4 linked regions of the Drosophila melanogaster genome follow. The protein of the gene in region 1 interacts with the protein of each later gene in a pairwise test. Each region holds a gene or a part of one and is shown on either strand. Other genes may lie near its edges. The genes, in order: CG32450, CG14232, CG12158 and Syx6.

Region 1 (3,897 bases):
GGAAACTAAAGCAATTCCAAATGGAAAACTGCTGCAAATTAATCAAATGCCTTTGCAGTACGGAATGGAAAGAGCGAGAGGAAAACGGTCAAAGGACAGGACTGGCAAGCAAACACGAGAACGTCAGTCAGTCAGTCAGCCAGTCACAAAGACACAGGCGAGCGATAAAAGCCAAAGCCAAAGGCAAGCAACCCTTTTTCCGAATCGAAACCAAACCAACCCAGCCCAACCCTTCAATCTGCACACACACTAGGGTTGTATATACTTATATATCGTAACGCATTAAATCGATAACACGATTTTTCAGCACGCACACAGCTCCCCGTCGAACCCGTACTGAAATCCAAAACAACTGGTTGACTGTGAGTTAAATTGTCAGTTTCATTACGTGGCAGCTTTCATAGCGTCTTTTGCTGTCTGCTTCCTGCCCCGGAACTCCGGAATGTTCCTTGCTTTTTTAAAGCCAAATCACTACGACTGCGCGTGAGCGTTCCCCGTCACTTCGCTTGCAGTGCGACAAGCGATTTTTCAAGTTGCCGCTTCATCGTTCTGCGGAGCTGCTTCTCCGTCTTTTTTGTTCGGTGCGGTTTCGGGGCTCTGCGTTCTGGGCGCCAACAAGTTCAATTTTCGGAAAAGGGCAGGAGCGCATCGAGAGCGGAGAAGCGAAGCCCCTGGGACTCCTCGAAACCGGCGAGTCGTGCGTTCTTGAGAACTTAAGGACCTCGACGCTGGTGAGTTCAACAAACATTTAACTGATTGCCTGGCGTGTCTTCGTGCCCAGCCCTGTCTGATTTTTTGATTTGCTATACACCTGGGAGCGGGACGGCCCTTGGCCACGAAAATGTTTAGCTTATTTGTTAGCGCTGCAAAATAAATTGTGTGTGCGTGCGGTAATTGTAAATTGCGTACGGGCAGACAGACAGTGGCGATTGTCAGTGGAGCAGCCGAGTTATTGGCACCTCTCCAACGTACGGGTATGCCATGAATTTTTGATCGAACAATGAGTGGATCGAGGGTTGCCACCTTTTGCCAATACGATGAGGTTGGCGAAGGCAGCAACAAACTAGGCTTTTGATTGCAAGTCCCCATCCCCATCCAATCCAATCTCGTTCCGTACGCCCCCAGCTAAGCCAATTCAATCAGGGGACCTGCCTGCAACCCTCTGAGTAATCCACTTTTGGCCTCCCGAAAGTGCGCAACAATTTCTTTTAAACTTCCTGCTGACACAAATCAGACCGAGGCCATAACTCAAACTATCTCCACCTCCGCTCGGCTGAATCAATAACCATAAACCGAAGCTCCTTATGCTCACGTGGAGGAGCCGCATAAAAAGTATGCCACATGCTCGGGGAAATCACTAAATTCAGCCTGAGGCAACGTGTACCTCATCATTTATGTGTGGCAGGGGCAAGAAACGGCGAGCCCGAAAACCAAGCAATGCCCACCTTCATAACTGAGAGTGCTTATCACGCCCACTTCCCCTTGATCCCCTCCTGCCGATACCGCCAACTACCGAGTACCGACTACCGTCTACATGTGACATTTGCATGCTTACTTAAACAGCAAAAAGCAGCATCTACGACAGCCACGTCGAGCTTGGCACGTCTGCGTCAACTATACTTTACATTTCGGCCAGACTGGTTTCGGTTTCGGTCTTGGTCTGAACCAGATGCTCAGTTGGAGTCTAGGACCCAGAAGGCCAAAAGAAGGAGAAGGCCCACTAGTGTTGTCAGTAGGCAGTCACAATCCTGTCGACGTCACATCAGCACACGTGTGTAGTAAAAATCAGACGTGTGGGCGCTGCTCGAGGAGCACACAGGCCTTGGCAATGTCGAGGCGCTCTAGTTGCCGCAGTCGATTCGAGTCGAGTCCTGCCTAGTCCTGCCTCCATGTACTTTGATTGCTTGCACGTTACCCGTACAATTTTCGGTATGATGGCGGCAACATTTCATGATTTCTTGTACGTGTTTCTGGCAGTAAGCACGCGTCCTTTCCTCTGCCGCGCACACCGTGTCCTGCGACCCTGGTCCTTCGCCCCACATCTATTCCGGCTCATGGGTTCCGGGGTAATGTATGCAAGCACTTTTTGTATATGACGCCGTTGCGCTTTGGGTCCTCGTCGTGTTTGTTTGCCTGGTGACTGATGATGGTTTGGCTGGTTTTGCTCAGCTCCCACTTTAGCTTCATTTTCCACCGCCACTTCTGTCGCTAGTTTTTCACCAGCAGCATCGATTCGAGCGTATGTCCTGCTAATAAATCAATGACGCCATTCCGGGGCTCCCAAGTAGGCGATGATTTATGTCTGGCTAAAGGGTTTTCACGAATACCGGGCCTAATTGAGTTGCCCTTGATGGATCAGTCATTTTTAGAGTGCTGCTTGTCCAGTACCAAGTAGAAGTCGCTTTAGAACAATCTAAAATTCGACGTTGCTGTTTTTTTTGGTTTAACATTCTCTATATACATTTTTTTAAAAATATGGATATAACGGTACCGCCGCCGGACTCGCACTGGTCGTTGAGGTTTGTGGACATCGTGAAGCCTTTTCCAAAACATACTTTGGCCAATGCCACTTATAAGATCATTCGCTTCTTTTACCCACCCTTTGCCCTGGAAACCGTCGATGTCACCCACGTGGTCAGCGATCCCGAGCTGAATAGTTTAAACGTGGGGCTGTTTGTGGTAGTTCCCTTAATTCTGGCCTGCATCGGCTATGGGGTGTACAAATATGTGCGGAGTATGGTAAGTTTTGTGCGTGGACCTATAGCCCCTGACCTCTGACCAAGTCTGACCTCGAGCAGCATACAGTGGCTAAACGGACACCATTAAAATTGTACGAGCTTGAACAGCGTATGAAAGACAAGTACGGTCCGGAATACAAGCAGGGAATCTGGAAGCGAAAGGACATTTCTGACCCCCTCCTATTAACCACTGATCCATCCGAACCAAAAGCAAAGAGATGTGAAAGCAGCAATGCCCACTGGCTGCGCAAAACCGATAGATCCGATGATTAATTAAATCAACACTCAGTTGGATCCCCACTCGGATATGACTGGGGATCTTAAAATCGAGAATCGAGGAAAGTACCTTCTCGAATCCAACCAGGCTTTGTACCCTTCTAAGCAACAAAATCGATATGATCCTTCAATTCCGTTTAATGATTGAGACCTTTTTTGCGACTGGAAAAGTGTCAGCTTTGGGCTTTCTCGTTTGGCGCAATAAAATGAAGTGATTGTTTGGTTTTTTATGTTGCAAAAACACACTGAACCCCGCAGAGCGAAGGGAAAGACATTGCACATAGGATTAGGTGGGGGTTTTGGGGCCAAGTCCTGGGTAATCATTTGGCAGCGCATGTGTCGGATTATTTTGTTGGTTTGCGTTTTATTTAAATTTGCTTCTTTCGGCTGCCTTTTTGCTCGTGCGGTGGTTGTTTGTCGCCCGAAAATCTGACAGCAGCTGAAAAGCATGCTAAGCTTCGTGCTTTCTTTTTGCTCTGGCTCAAAGCAAATTAATGATTTGCCATCAAGCAAATAAATCAAAAGCTTCAAAGCAGATCTCTGGCTTAGCGCGCTGCGCTGTGGTGCGGTGCGATGGGATCCTGGGGCTGGCTGCGATTTAAGTCCCTTTCATCTCGGCCTGCTCCACTTTAAAGCCAGTCCCGAATGCATAGTTTTATTTCGCAGCTATTTCCACTCAACTAAGCGCATGCATTGATGATATATCCCCTTCCGTGTGACACCCCTTCCCATTGACATGACATAAATAACCGTGTGAGGCTGTTATAATTTATAATCCTTGCTCTGGACCCCCAGCAACAATAATACCAACAACAACAACAACAACAACAACAACAACAACAGCAACAACAACAACAACAACAGCAGCAGCAGCAACAAGAAC
Region 2 (5,226 bases), on another chromosome or scaffold:
CGCCGCAATTTTTGTTGAAGCGATAATCTTAATTCACTTAATTAGCTTTTAGTTAGGCGGAATCCCACCAGCGGATGCCGAATGAATCTCAACAGAGCCGGATTCACACCGCTACGATAATCTAGTTGGAGCTGCAACGGGGCTCAAATGCATTTGTGCAGTAACTAAAGCACAAACATTTCATTTTTTTTTTTTGTAATCTAGATGAATACATGTACCATTTACAAAAAAAAAAAAGAACAATATTGGTTTATTTTACACAGGATTATGCTTAAGACTAAGGGTATAATTTAACCTAGATCAGTTTTTTCCCTTTTTATTCCGCTGCAGCTTGATATCCTTGCTGGGCAGGCTCTTCTTCGCCTTGGCGATCTTTTTGGTGATCAGCAATTTCAGGCGGTTCTTCACTTGGTCATATTCGGCATGGTCAACCACCGCCTTCGTGGACTTGAAAAACTTGGCGCCCTCTGCAAAGAAAAGACGATCGCTTGTTGAGAATGAAAAAATACGCACAGATTCACGTTCTTACCCTTGAGACGAGGATCGTTTCTGGGTATGAAGAAGGACTCCAATTTGTTTTTGTTCCTCTTTTGACCCGACTTCTTCGCTGGCTGGGCCTTGTTCTCCTTGCTGACCTCAAGCTCCTGCTCCTGCTCCTGCTCTTGCTTCGGCTTTACTTCGGTTTCGTCTTCGCTGTCGGACGAGTCGTAGGAGAACGGATTGAGAGTGGCCAGTCCGAGCTTATTGGCAGACGTCTTGCCCACCAGGATCTTCTCATGGCCCAGCTTCTCCAACTGGTCCTGGCGCTTGGCCACCTCCTTCTCCGGTGCACTGCCGAACATGTCCAGCAGGCTGAAACCCTCTCCACGCGTGTTCAGCGAATCCCTCAACGTGTCGGTGACAATGTAAAAGGCCGTCTTCGAGACGGCTGAAGCTTGACTGTTGCCCGCGTCGGCGGTCTTGGCTTTCGTACTGGAAGTCTCCTCCTTCTTCTCCTCCTCCTCCTTGGGCTGCTTTTGGCGCATTAGCTTCTGATGGCCCTCCTTGGCCGGATCGAAGCGCAGCATCTTTTTGTTCTTTGGCGACTTACCGTCCTTATCGTTCGCACTGGTGATCGCGTGTCCCACAACCTGCTCCAGAATGTTCATGTGCCATTTGCGCTCACTCTCCTCCGGCTCAGGCTGATCCTCCAGCTCCGCCTCTTCCTCCTCGTTCACAAAGTTCGATGTGATGCGGAAGCGGGGATCTATACTCTGTTTGCTCTGCATCTCCACCAGACGCTCGCCCTTCTTGCCCTTATGCTGCGGCAGGACGATCTGCTCCTCTTCCTCATCGTCGTCGTTCTCGAACAGATCCCGCTTTTGTATCTTGGCTTTCTGGACGGGCTTGGACGCCTCCTCCTCCTCGGCGTCGCTGAATTTTATTCTCTTTGCCTGACTGCCTTCGACTGATATCACAGATAGCGCCTGCTGGATGGCTGACTTCTTTTGTTGGTGTCCCTGACGCATCTTGTTGAGCGACTCCTTGCGCTTCTGTTCCGCCTGGCTGACATTGGCGTCCGGCTTCTGTTTGGCTGCCTTGCGGTGCTGTTCGATGACATGGAGTGGCTTCACGTCGTGCTCCTGCTGGATGACAATCTGTGGGAAAGGAAAGGAAAGGAATTTAGCTGACAATGAGCTTGGGAACAATGAGTGCGTGCATACCCGGCCATTGTGCATGGAATTGGCGGCGCGCTTCTTGGTAATCAGCAGCTCTGGAGCGACCTCATCATCACCAATCTCCTCATCCTCTCCGAATACCCTGCGCTTGTTTTGGCCACTTTGCACCAGGAGCTGAGAGCTCGGCGCACGCACCTCGGACTCGTCTGGCTCGCCCTGTTCCCGGCGCTGGTTCTCTTCGCGTTCGCGCTTCAGTCGATCCAAAAACGATTCTTTGGCAAGAGAAACTCTTAGCTTTTCGCCGTGCAACTTCTGCCATTTGAGCTCGTTGACGCCTACAAAACCAAGCTATGGTTACTCCTTCCGTCTGGCTGTGATCTTCCGCGGATAACTTACAGTACTGGGCATCATCCGTCTGCACGGTGACGAAGGCAATCACCTTAGTGGCCCCATCCTGCTCCTTGCGCTTCAGATCCACGTGCTCTACGTGACCGTAGTCCTGGAACAGGATCTGCAGGTCCGACTCCGAGGTCCTGGTCGGCAGATCCGCCAGGAAGAACCGAGTGCTGCCCATATTATGTTTACGCTTGCAATGCACGTGTAGAATCCAAATCCCGGCAAGAATTGCTGTGGGCCAGTGTGACCGCGGGCAGATAAAAACTTACACTTAAATATAGCCACAATTCCAATTCCCAATTGCTTTATACAGGTTTTTAACAAGTCCAAGCAACACTAAACCAGCTTTCAAATTTATTTAGCAACTTTGTAAATAGGCAAATACATTAAGTTAGACAAAAATAATCCCCATCGGTCAGTGTTGCAAGGCGAGCAATACAATTACTTTAGGTGCGCAGCTGGCTGGTCACACTGGCAGCAGACGTCACAATAAATTCTATTATTTTGTTTTGTTTTGTGCGAAAAGTTTGCAGGCCAGCAATCGTGGACTAGCCCACAAACAACGGCAGCATGGCGAGCGGGACAAGCGGCACAAGCAGCAGTGAAACGGCCCAGTCGACGGACATGGCACCATCATCGGCCGAGAAGTGGGGCTTCCCTTTGATTGAGCTCTACCGCCTGGCATTCACGTTCTACAAGCGTAAGAGCAGAGATCCCGGCACTAGCGCACCAATAACGGCTAATCTCACATATTGCAGGGAACTCCGGCAAGGCCATCCACTTGTCGTACGAGGACAACCTCAAGCTGATCGCCTTCAAGCAGCAGGCGGCGCTGGGCCCCTTCAACACGAGTCGCGCCCCGGCGCTGGGCGTCCTGGACGTGATCGGACGCGACCGGCAGCAGCACTGGCAGCTGCTCGGTGAGATAACGCGCGAGCAGGCGATGGAGGGGTTCGTCGACCTGCTGGACACAATGTGCAGCGCCTTTCGGCCGTACATTGAGGCCGTGCGGCAGGACCGCGACGAGACGCTGCGCAAGGAGCTGCGCCTCATGGAGGAGAAGAAGGAGGCACGCGAGCGGCAGGAGAACGCCCAGCAGGAGCTGCTCGAGGAGGGTTACAAGGAGGAGCTGCAGCGCCGCCAGCTGCAGGACGCACTCAACAAGCAGACTTACCAGCAGTTTAAGGTAGCCCATCGATTTTTTCAACAACACACCGGCCCGGCCCTCTGCACCTGTTGTTGTGCTAAATAATGCATGATAATTACTGGGTGCTCGGCCTTGGCTGCGCTGTCTGCCATTGAAAAGGGGTCATGACCCAGTTCTCAGGCAATTGCATGCCAGCTCCTGTACCATTAACTTGGCCCTTCTAACGCTTACACTCGTTCCACAGCTGTACGCTGAGAAGCAGTTCCCCGGAAACCCCGAACAGCAGGCCGTGCTTATCCACCAGCTGCAGCGGGAGCACTATCACCAGTACATGCAACAGCTTCATCTGCAGAACCAGAACCAGAATCAGAATCAGAACACGGAGGACAAGGGACACCAGGAAGCAGAACACGTCCCTGGCAATAACAACAACAGCTCAACCGACTTGCCCAACGCCATGGAGGGACTGAAGCTCGGTGAGGTCGAGACACAGCAGCACCAGCAGCTGGCCGAGCAGCAAGACGGGCATGTAGAGCAGACGTTGGAGGGCGTTGGGCAGGAACAGCACGGCGAGGAAGAGTACGACGACTACGTTATGATCTGCCCGGCCAAGATCTGGACTCGTCCCGACATCGAGCAGTTTAAGACTGAGGTGTCCGCCGGCGATGGGGACGGCGTCATCACCATTGGACACGGCGACACGGTGACGGTAGGTGGCAATCAACTAATGACGAAACAAGGCCCATATTGACCGGCACAATTTTGCAGGTCCGTGTGCCCACCAACATGAACGGCAAGTGCATCTTCTGGGAGTTCGCCACGGACAGCTACGACATCGGCTTCGGCATCTACTTCGAGTGGGCCAAGCCCGTGACCAACGAGGTGACCGTGCATGTGAGCGACTCCGACGAGGACGAGGATTGCGTGGACGAGGACTACCTATCCACCACCGAGGACCTGGAGTCCGGCTCGCTGTCGCAGGAGCGCGGCGCAGTTAACAACCCGACTGCTGCCCCCAAGGCACCCATTTCCATTATCGTACCGATCTATCGACGGGAGTGCTACAACGAGGTCTACGTGGGCTCCCACTCCTATCCGGGCGAGGGCGTCTATTTGCTGAAGTTCGACAACAGCTACAGCATCTGGCGCAATAAGACGCTGTACTACCGCGTCTACTACGAGCGTTAAGAGGCCAAAATGTATTTACTTACCACTAACTTAGATGAATCCTATCTCCGTACGAACGGCTAATGTGCAAGTCCGGAATAATCTGTATGTGCGTGTGCGTGAGGTTTTGGTTTTACGTGTGCGTTGCTGCAATTCCGGGAAACAAGCGGCGGGAAAAGACCATGCCGATTTCAGACTAAACCAATATTATTTATTATTTAGTTGTAACCGACGAAGACAAGTCCAAAATTCAATTTGAAACTAATAAACAATATAAAGACAACTGTAAATAATCACTTTTCGAAATCTCTTTGCTTCTTAATGAAGAATAAATTATTCGTAAAATTCACTTAGGAAACTTCTTCATACGACACAATTGCTATTACCAATTTTGGGCATTGAAACAACTATTATTATTATTTTATATTAAATAAAAATTGCATTAAAGTATAGTTAAGAATTTGGCTCGTGTAAGGGGCCCTAACACTAACGGTCCCACGATTTGCTGGTTGTGGTTTCTATCGGTGCCTGGTCACACTGGCCATTATGCATGCACTTCGTAATTTTGCCGGCAATGGAATAGCAAATGTATTTGGCTGTGGGATCAGGCGCCGGCTCAGCTATGTCCTGGGCATCGAGACCTCCTGCGACGACACGGGCATCGCCATCGTGGACACCACGGGCCGAGTGATTGCCAATGTGCTGGAGTCGCAACAGGAGTTCCACACCCGGTGAGTGCTCACATCTCCGCATGCGGTGCCCAATGATGAACTGAATCGATTGCAGCTATGGAGGCATTATTCCGCCCAGGGCCCAGGACCTTCACCGCGCCCGCATCGAGTCCGCCTACCAGCGCTG
Region 3 (3,020 bases), on another chromosome or scaffold:
AGTGTCTTTTAAATACTCATTACAAAATTAATTCGGGGAAAAGTTTTGATAAAAATCCTATTATAAACATAAATAAATAGGCTGGCCAGAGGCAGAGGCGGAGTGCTTTGCGCGGGGGGGTCAAAGGACAAAGCAGTGACTGTGCAAACAATTGTGAGTGTGCAAAGTGGAAAAGTGGGCGGGGCCGTTGGTAGTGAAAGGTAGTGGCAAAGTCAAAGTCAAACAATGAGGCAGCCAACTGTAAAGGACGAGGGCTGAGACTTCATTAGTGCTCATCCACAATGTATGCTGGTGTCGTCTTGCTACCCGAATTTACCGCCCTCCTTCCCCCATATGGCCATCCAAATCCTTGGCTATTCCTCCGTCGTCCTGAAAAGTGCCGAAATGGTTATAAGGCGTTATGGGTTCGCCACTCGCTTGCGGTTTATTCAGCCGCTCAGTTCGCGACTATGGGCATATTCAATATTCATATTTCGCTGTGGCAGGGACATTTATTAACCGAAAAAAACCCACACAAGTACACAGTAAGAAATCTGCACAAAGTCGTTTATAATATTTTTAAAAATTATTTCTGCAACTGCTTGCATTGTTGTTACTATCATACGCATATGTATGTTTCTTATAGTTTATTTTAATTTTTCAAAATTATTGTAATAGAGTTCTTAGAAGATTAATTTCAAGAATGCCTCCCAACTTAACATTAGAAATTACCTATACTTGTATCAATTGTAACTAAATAATTCAACTATATGCACTTCCTTCAGTCTGCAAACATCGATGTGCCCATAGGTGGTGACAGGTGAATCGGCGGGCGGGACCCATCGTTGTTGTGTAAACTAGAAAGTCTTGTTTCTGTTTGGCCAACGTTCGGCAGAATTTAATCTCAAGCTGAAACCGAAGACATTTTGCCACTCAACGCTCGAAAATGCCGAGCGAAATTGCTTTGCCCGACCATGCCCCCAAGGTGATGGCGAGGGGCAAGTGAATGGGCGGTGGCAGTTGGATGGCAGGTGGATGGTGGGTGGTGTGCGAATCTCTTTCAAAACGTGTAGTGTCAGTCAAAGAATGGTGGCATATGGGTGGCTGGTGTGTTGGATTGTTTGAGCATACGCTCAAATTAAAAGACCGAGCAGCAATAGGAAATCCAGTTTGAATAATTGACGGTTTACTCTGCCTAGACAAACTTTATGAAAATGTAATAGTGCCTAAATGAATTGATTTCGAAAGCTTCGTAAAGTGCGAGGCTAAGGAAATTTAATATGCCACTTGGAATATTTTAGGAAAATAGTTTACCAAGACAAGATACAAAAAACCAGAGACAGTGTCAAAAGTATCGAATATCAGATACCTGTTACTCCGACTGCTTCCGTGAGTGCACACGAGCTCCACCTAGTGGTTATTTTTCAGTAACTGCTTATGACGCTCTGATGTTATCAAAGATAAAACGCCCAAATATTTTATAATCAATATAGCTTTTGAAGTCAGAGTGTGAATCAGATCGCTATATGTTGACTTATAAATTCTTACCATCCAAGTTAATTTTTCGCAAAACGTATTTGTTTTGGCGTGTCCAAAATGTTATTAAATTTAGAGCTCAATCTATACATTTTTAGTTAATTATAGCTATGATATGATGACCTTAGTGACATTTGAGAGATATTCTGGCTAATTTTTTCAAATTTGTTTTTCCAATTAAACAGCAAAATGATGGCTCCCCTTTGGAGTTATTTTGTCGTTTTAATATATTGTATATGCGATCAGATCGGGTCACACGCAATTACGACATTATAAATCAGATTCGAGCGAGCAAAATAATACAGAATGGCATTATTAACATACAAACTGATTTTGCCATTTTGTTCACTGCGATGGTTAATTGCACTGGATTATAATCTCTTGGGAACCGCAGTTGTGCTGTATGACTATAAAAGACCACATGTGTTGTTAGTTTACTAGTTTCAAATTCAACATGAAGCAGTTCGCATTGTTCAGCATCTTCCTTCTAATTCTGGCTGTGGGTTTGGTAAGAGTTGAAGGGTTTTCAATCATCCACTTGGCCTAACCAGAGGTTTTCCAGGCACAAATGCCGCTGCAGGTGGCCGCCCAGGGCCAAAATGGACATTCGCAGGGACAGCCGCCAAGACCGCCAAATGGCAATGGAAACGGCAACCAGCAGAGTGGACAAGGACAAAGCGGGCAGAACAACTAGAACTGGGATATTTCTGGAGGGGGACACACACCTCCTCGCCACTTTCCCAGTTACTTAAATAAACACTTTCCCCAGCAAACTAAAAACTTCGTTTCTTGAACCCCGTAAGCTTAGAAAGGCAAGCTCGATATTAATGGTCAAAGGGAAAAGAGAAATTCGAGGGTAGAATCTTAAAGCAAATTGAAATCGAAGGGAAAATAACATGACTGAATAGATTTGTCATCTTAAAGGCTCTGAAAACTTCCACTATCAGTTGAAAATATAGGCCCGCGTTTCTGTTTATGTATGTGACTAAAAAAAATGTTATGTTTTACACAAGTTCTTAGAGCCATATTGTTTTACAATTGTTATACACTTTTTTTGTATATTCATTCTCCTCCTCGCTTTGTGTATTTGCACTGCGTCTGGGCCAAGCCAATTTGGAAAACTTTATTAATAAAGTGCACAAATTATGAGCATGAAACTCACCCCTCAACCCCGCGCACATGGCCATAGGTCCATTCCGGCTGATGAGCCAGGAAAGGGGTTACAAAGGGGTTTCAATGCCGGGCTATTCGGAGCGATGGAAACCTACAAAGCGCAACTTCTTCAGCGACTTGTGTTCTACATTCTGTGAAAATGCAAATGCTTATTACTCGTACCAAAGGAGCTGTGCCGCCAGGCAGTGCATAATTGCATTATGACTGCCGGAGTCTGGATGCAGCTAACCCTCTGTTCAAAGTCGCCGGAGAACCCAATCCCCTCCCAACCGACATCCCTTGCAATTCCCGGAAAAACACCTTCTAAGCCGCTCTACTTCAGCAACTGAAAT
Region 4 (5,065 bases), on another chromosome or scaffold:
CAGCACATGGATCCCATCGCTAGTTTTTTGCGAAAAACCAGAGCTTCCTGGTGCGTTTTATCCAGCAGGTGCATCTGAAAGGGTCGACCAGCTCCCCAAAGTAGTCGATTTTTTTCTGTGGAACTCTCGTTGGCCGCGAAAATGGCATCACCCAGTGGAGATCGCACCACATATCGATTCTCCGAGGAGACGCCTGTTAGGGCTGCAAAGGGAAGACGAACTATTAGAAGCGATTTTAGCTAATTTTTGGGCTTGTACTTACCATCGTTAAGCTCAAAGGTCTGTTCAATATGTACGGACGGCAGATCTGCTAGGCAATCGTATCCGGAAAGTGGGATAAGCGTCCGGCTTCCCGTAACCGTGGCAATTGGCACTGGCAGCGGGATGCGTGGAGCCTCCGGCCTGGGTTGTGAGGTAATGCTGATATGGGAGTCATAAACTGAAGAAAAACAAACAAATCGTATATAGACCATTTTCCAATACGAGCAGAATCGTAAGGTTGTCCATATTGTTATCTTTGAACTAAGATTTTATAAACCTTTTCCATATCTTTAGGGTATTACAAACTTTTCCATAGATTGAATTTTGAAAGTTTTTAATATTTTAATTAAATTTAAATTTCATTTAAAGTTGTAGTTTTAAGATCATAATTTTACAGTGAATTTGAATTAAATAAAAATGGTTGTTGAACATTCTGCTAATAATAGCTCTGAGTAATAGCAATATTATTGAAAATATTTTGTGGTTATAACAAATCGTTTAGATTAAAACTTTAGTAGTTTTTCGATTTTTTCATAATCTTGTCACATAAATATTTTATTACTTTTCTTGGAATAGGAAAATGTTGGTATAGGATACAGCTAATATCATGGGTACGGTTTTACTATCGGATTGATCGCTGGGTTCGATCGTCCCAAACAAAGGCACTTGAGGAGTCGCAGACCATAACAAAACGCTGGCCGATAAGATATAGCCAACTTGTGGCCGCATTTTTGCGTCGAACTGTGTGACACACTCGCTCGCAACAATAATTAATCCGGTGCACTGCTTATCAGTTGGTAACAATTCGGTTACCCTTTTGCCAGGGTGATTCACTCGCTGTTTTTATTCGTTTTCTAAAGCCATATGCCCTAAATTACCTCTCGGTTCTGAGAGACTTGGCTGCTGGGCCACACGGATCTCACTGTCGTATTGCAAAGTGCGCACCGCGTTGTTTTGCAACATTTCGCCAGCACTTTTCAAACTTATTTGACGGCGGTCTAAATGAAATTGATAACGGTGGTCAGTGGGGCAGTAGCACAACGGAAGTTAAGTGCTTTGTGCCCCTCGCCTGGTCACACTTCCTGACTCAGATGATTTTAATACTCTATTACGAACGTTCTCATGTGAAATAGTAATAATAGCTTATTTATAGTGCTATTTTGTAAACTTTAATTCATGCGAATGTTGCAGGTTTTCAAAATATTCGTTTATGCTGCTCAAGCTGAATGTGGATAAATATATATTCAAATCCAGAGCTGCCACCTGATTCAAACTGTTTAGTAACGTATTTTCTGCACTTGCGATATATACTAAATTATCGCGGGATAAACGTGCTATCGCACTTGGGTCATACTAAGCCTTACGGTTTATTTTGCTAGCAGCAAAACAGAAATAAAACCTTTACTTAAATTTATTTATCAGAATTTGTCTCGTGTGAACTTGAAATTAAAGTCCGTCACCGTGTTCTCGGACCGAAGTTTGCTAAATGACGTGGAGACGAGCAGCAGGTGAGCGAGCGATGAAAATTGCAACAGTGCTGGCCATTTGGCCGACGATTTGTTGTTGTGGAATTTTTTGGCCAAAATTCGGGTTGTTTTCAAATCGGTTAGTCAAGGGGTTGGTAATCAAGGAACCAAAGTGCGCAGCCGCTGGAGCGGGAGCGGCGTAAACAAATGCCAGTGGGGTAGTGGTTCTCGGTGGGGGCTTAATCTCTGGAGCGCAAATAGCGACAGTGTTCTCTGGGCCATCGGTGGAACCAGCTAAGTCGGCGGAATCCACAAGAAATCGAGCGATAAGCGGCGGAGCGGGTCCAAGTGCAATAATCAATAAACGTGCTGTTCAAACATCGCTGCTAGGCGAAAGATAAAACCCAGTCGATTGTGAAATTCCTGCTATATAGAACGGATTGAAAGCAAAAATTTGCTCCCCATTTGCTTGCCTTTTGATGTAACTCCCACGAAGTGCTTTTGCTATTGCCAACTTGCAATTTGCCCCCTTGTACCTTTGGGGGGTGGTTTTCGCCCGGAAAAATCCATGAAAAGAACCGTCAAGTGCGCCACGCTGGTGAAAAACTGCTAGGAGTGTTAGTTTTCGTTTTGTGGCAAGAAGAGAACGCGGCATGTCTCTGGAGGATCCGTTTTTCGTGGTCAAGGAGTAGGTGTCCCCGATTTGGCAGATGGCCACATGCACTGCTGGTGGAAAGTGCTATCTTACTTATATCTCTGTTTTTTCTTTCATTTCCCTCCCCTTCCCCAACAGCGAGGTATTCAAAGCTCTGAACAAAACCCGCGGCCTCTATCTGCGTTGGCGGGAGCTGGGCGAGAACGGCGGAACGGAGGCTGAATGGACCACCACCGAGCTGCGTAACTCGCTACGGAGCATCGAGTGGGATCTCGAGGACCTCGAGGACACTATCAATATCCTTTTGCAAAGACCATTGAAAAATCAATTCGTTACCTGGTACTCATTTATCGAATTGCATTGTCTGTTTTATTTTCGCATAAAGAGGTTGAGATCCCATTTAAAATTGCTGAATATGCAATTTATTCGTGATTTAATTCGCTCGTTTATTAGTATTATACTAATAAACTGTACAGAACTTGTTTTTTTGGCACTATAATTGTAAAAAAAGAGTACTTGGTATCTTAAGGTCGGTAGAACCGACTTTCTAGCTCATCAGTCTCCTCGGTTTTCTCCTTAACCCATACCATTTTGACTCACACGCATCGTTGAGAAGAATCCAAGCAAGTTTCGGATCGACAACCGCGAACTCTCCAGCCGGCGCCACTTCATCGACAACACTCGCGATGAGGTCAAGCAGATGAAGGATAAGATGAGCCTGAACCGGAGCCGGGACAGAGACATCACCGCACACCAGCCGCTGCTCGACAACGATCGCCACAGCCCCAATCACAATCATTCCATTGCCATACCCAATTCGAATTCCAACTCCAACGAGTACCATCAGCATCCACACAACGATCGCACGTACCTCGTGGAGTGTCCCAACGGCAACTCGCTGATCAATAGCGGCAGTCAGGTGGCCAATACCATAGCTGGGACCATGTCGGCGGCAGCGGCAGCAGCATCCCGCCACAGCGGCACCAAGTACTCCAAGCTGGAGAACGCCCTGGACAGTCCCAGTCACTATGGGCAGACGCATCACGGCGGCATGGACAGTCCGAGTCATAGGTACGTGGGCGAAACAGTGTCCATACAGCAGCGTATGATCCAGGGACAGGATGAGCAGCTAGACATGATCAGCGATTCGATTGGTACCCTCAAGACGGTCTCGCGGCAAATTGGCGTTGAGCTCGATGAGCAGGCCGTCATGCTAGACGACTTTGGGAACGAGTTCGATACCACGGAGTCCAAGTTGGATACGACCATGAAGAAAGTTGCCAAAGTCTTGCACATGAATAATGGTGAGTGGTGCGGCACTTGTGGTATTCAAGGACTATTTTGATTGAAATATTAATGAAGAGTAAATGCTTCAGTGAACCACAATCAAAATTACCCATTGAATACTTTTGTGACTTCTGATTCCTAATTCTTAACTGTATCCATCTTCTTTCACAGATAAACGACAGTGGGCCGCCATTCTCATCCTATCCGGACTGTTATTGTTTGTGATAATTTTGTTTATTATTTTGTAATTGCTTTCGTTGTTCCCAAATCGTTTATATTTAGTGTAAATTAGATTTATTTATGACTTAGCTTGCTTTTGAATTCGGGCTCTTAATTACAATTCCATGTAAACTCCCTTGCTGTATATACACGGAAACATTTTAACCTGATTTATTACCAGCCGCCTCTCTCTATATATATATAATGTAATTCCAAAGCTACGGACAAATGATCATGTAAAGTCAATGTAGGCGGGTAATAAAAGATAACTAACTACTTACATATAAACCAAGTGCTCCAGAGTTCTGTCATTCCCAATTTGGCCAAAGGATACTGCAACTGTAAGCTGTATATACATCGAAGGATATATCTGCATATATATACATACAAACAAAATGGACCTACCAATATCAAACGAGTTATTTAACGAAGAGTCTTAGGAAATTTCACTAACCAAATCTAGCAAAAACTTGTATGCAATTGAGTAAATATATATACTTATAAATTAAATTCCTAATTTAAAGCCAAATGAGGTACTTCTTACGGGTCACCTAGAAATACTGTATGAGTGCACAGAGAGAAATTGTATACATATACAAAAATTTGTTCGCTATTTTGAAAGCCTAAATTAAACAAAAATTGGAAATACAAGCTTTCAAATTTTTTAATGTTTTTAAGGATAGTAGGATTAGTCAAGATGTTATCTTCTGATAGATCAATGATTTGGAAAATGGTATTTAATACCAAATTTTTCTCTGTGCACAAGGAGAGGGTATCAGGCCCCTTCTCATGTTCTCTCTGCGCCCCAAAACCACTCGACAGCCCACTCGATTTGCCCACTCACTCAGCTGTGTTGCATGCTTTTGCCCGGAGCTTTTTGGCGAGCTTACAGTCTGCGCACAGTGGCGCAACCAAAGGGGTATCTTCGAAAGGCTTGAAACATAACCCCTACGGGGAATCCGGACTACGCCACTGGGTCACAGCATAAGCACACGGGCAGAGCGGCACGTTTCCATGTGATGTTTTTCGGGTTTCGGCATTCAGTGTTGTTTGCCTTTTCCGCGGAGCTGGAGTTTTCCCAGCAGTTGGCATATAGTATATATATATATCTCCTGATATTCCGGTAGAAATGTTCAATTGTTGAATTACTTCGGCTAAGCGGCATTCAAAGTTATTT

What was found.
Region 2: the proteins of CG32450 (region 1) and CG14232 interact in a two-hybrid assay, tested with the Drosophila melanogaster proteins (one large-scale study listed by BioGRID).
Region 3: the proteins of CG32450 (region 1) and CG12158 interact in a two-hybrid assay, tested with the Drosophila melanogaster proteins (one large-scale study listed by BioGRID).
Region 4: the proteins of CG32450 (region 1) and Syx6 interact in a two-hybrid assay, tested with the Drosophila melanogaster proteins (one large-scale study listed by BioGRID).

The regions. Positions count from the first base shown.
Region 1 is NT_037436.4:22,327,419-22,331,315, forward strand, and holds CG32450 (uncharacterized protein), read left to right. Parts: upstream 1-2,359; 5' UTR 2,360-2,475; coding exon 2,476-2,739; intron 2,740-2,798; coding exon 2,799-3,011; 3' UTR 3,012-3,239; downstream 3,240-3,897.
Region 2 is NC_004354.4:19,701,417-19,706,642, reverse strand, and holds CG14232 (uncharacterized protein), read left to right. Parts: upstream 1-2,383; 5' UTR 2,384-2,504; exon of another isoform or gene 2,505-2,580; 5' UTR 2,581-2,624; coding exon 2,625-2,754; intron 2,755-2,812; coding exon 2,813-3,240; intron 3,241-3,445; coding exon 3,446-3,910; intron 3,911-3,969; coding exon 3,970-4,389; 3' UTR 4,390-4,655; downstream 4,656-5,226. Other genes in the region: CG14230 (uncharacterized protein), read right to left, coding at 301-467, 530-1,637, 1,704-1,993, 2,055-2,232; Tcs4 (Threonyl-carbamoyl synthesis 4), read left to right, coding at 4,915-5,099, 5,155-5,226.
Region 3 is NT_033778.4:9,361,839-9,364,858, reverse strand, and holds CG12158 (uncharacterized protein), read left to right. Parts: upstream 1-1,952; 5' UTR 1,953-1,969; coding exon 1,970-2,023; intron 2,024-2,077; coding exon 2,078-2,209; 3' UTR 2,210-2,285; downstream 2,286-3,020.
Region 4 is NT_033778.4:11,217,944-11,223,008, forward strand, and holds Syx6 (syntaxin 6), read left to right. Parts: upstream 1-1,990; 5' UTR 1,991-2,380; coding exon of another isoform or gene 2,381-2,415; 5' UTR 2,416-2,437; coding exon 2,438-2,678; intron 2,679-2,984; coding exon 2,985-3,686; intron 3,687-3,840; coding exon 3,841-3,917; 3' UTR 3,918-4,395; downstream 4,396-5,065. Other genes in the region: CG9084 (uncharacterized protein), read right to left, coding at 1-220, 263-439, 1,140-1,224.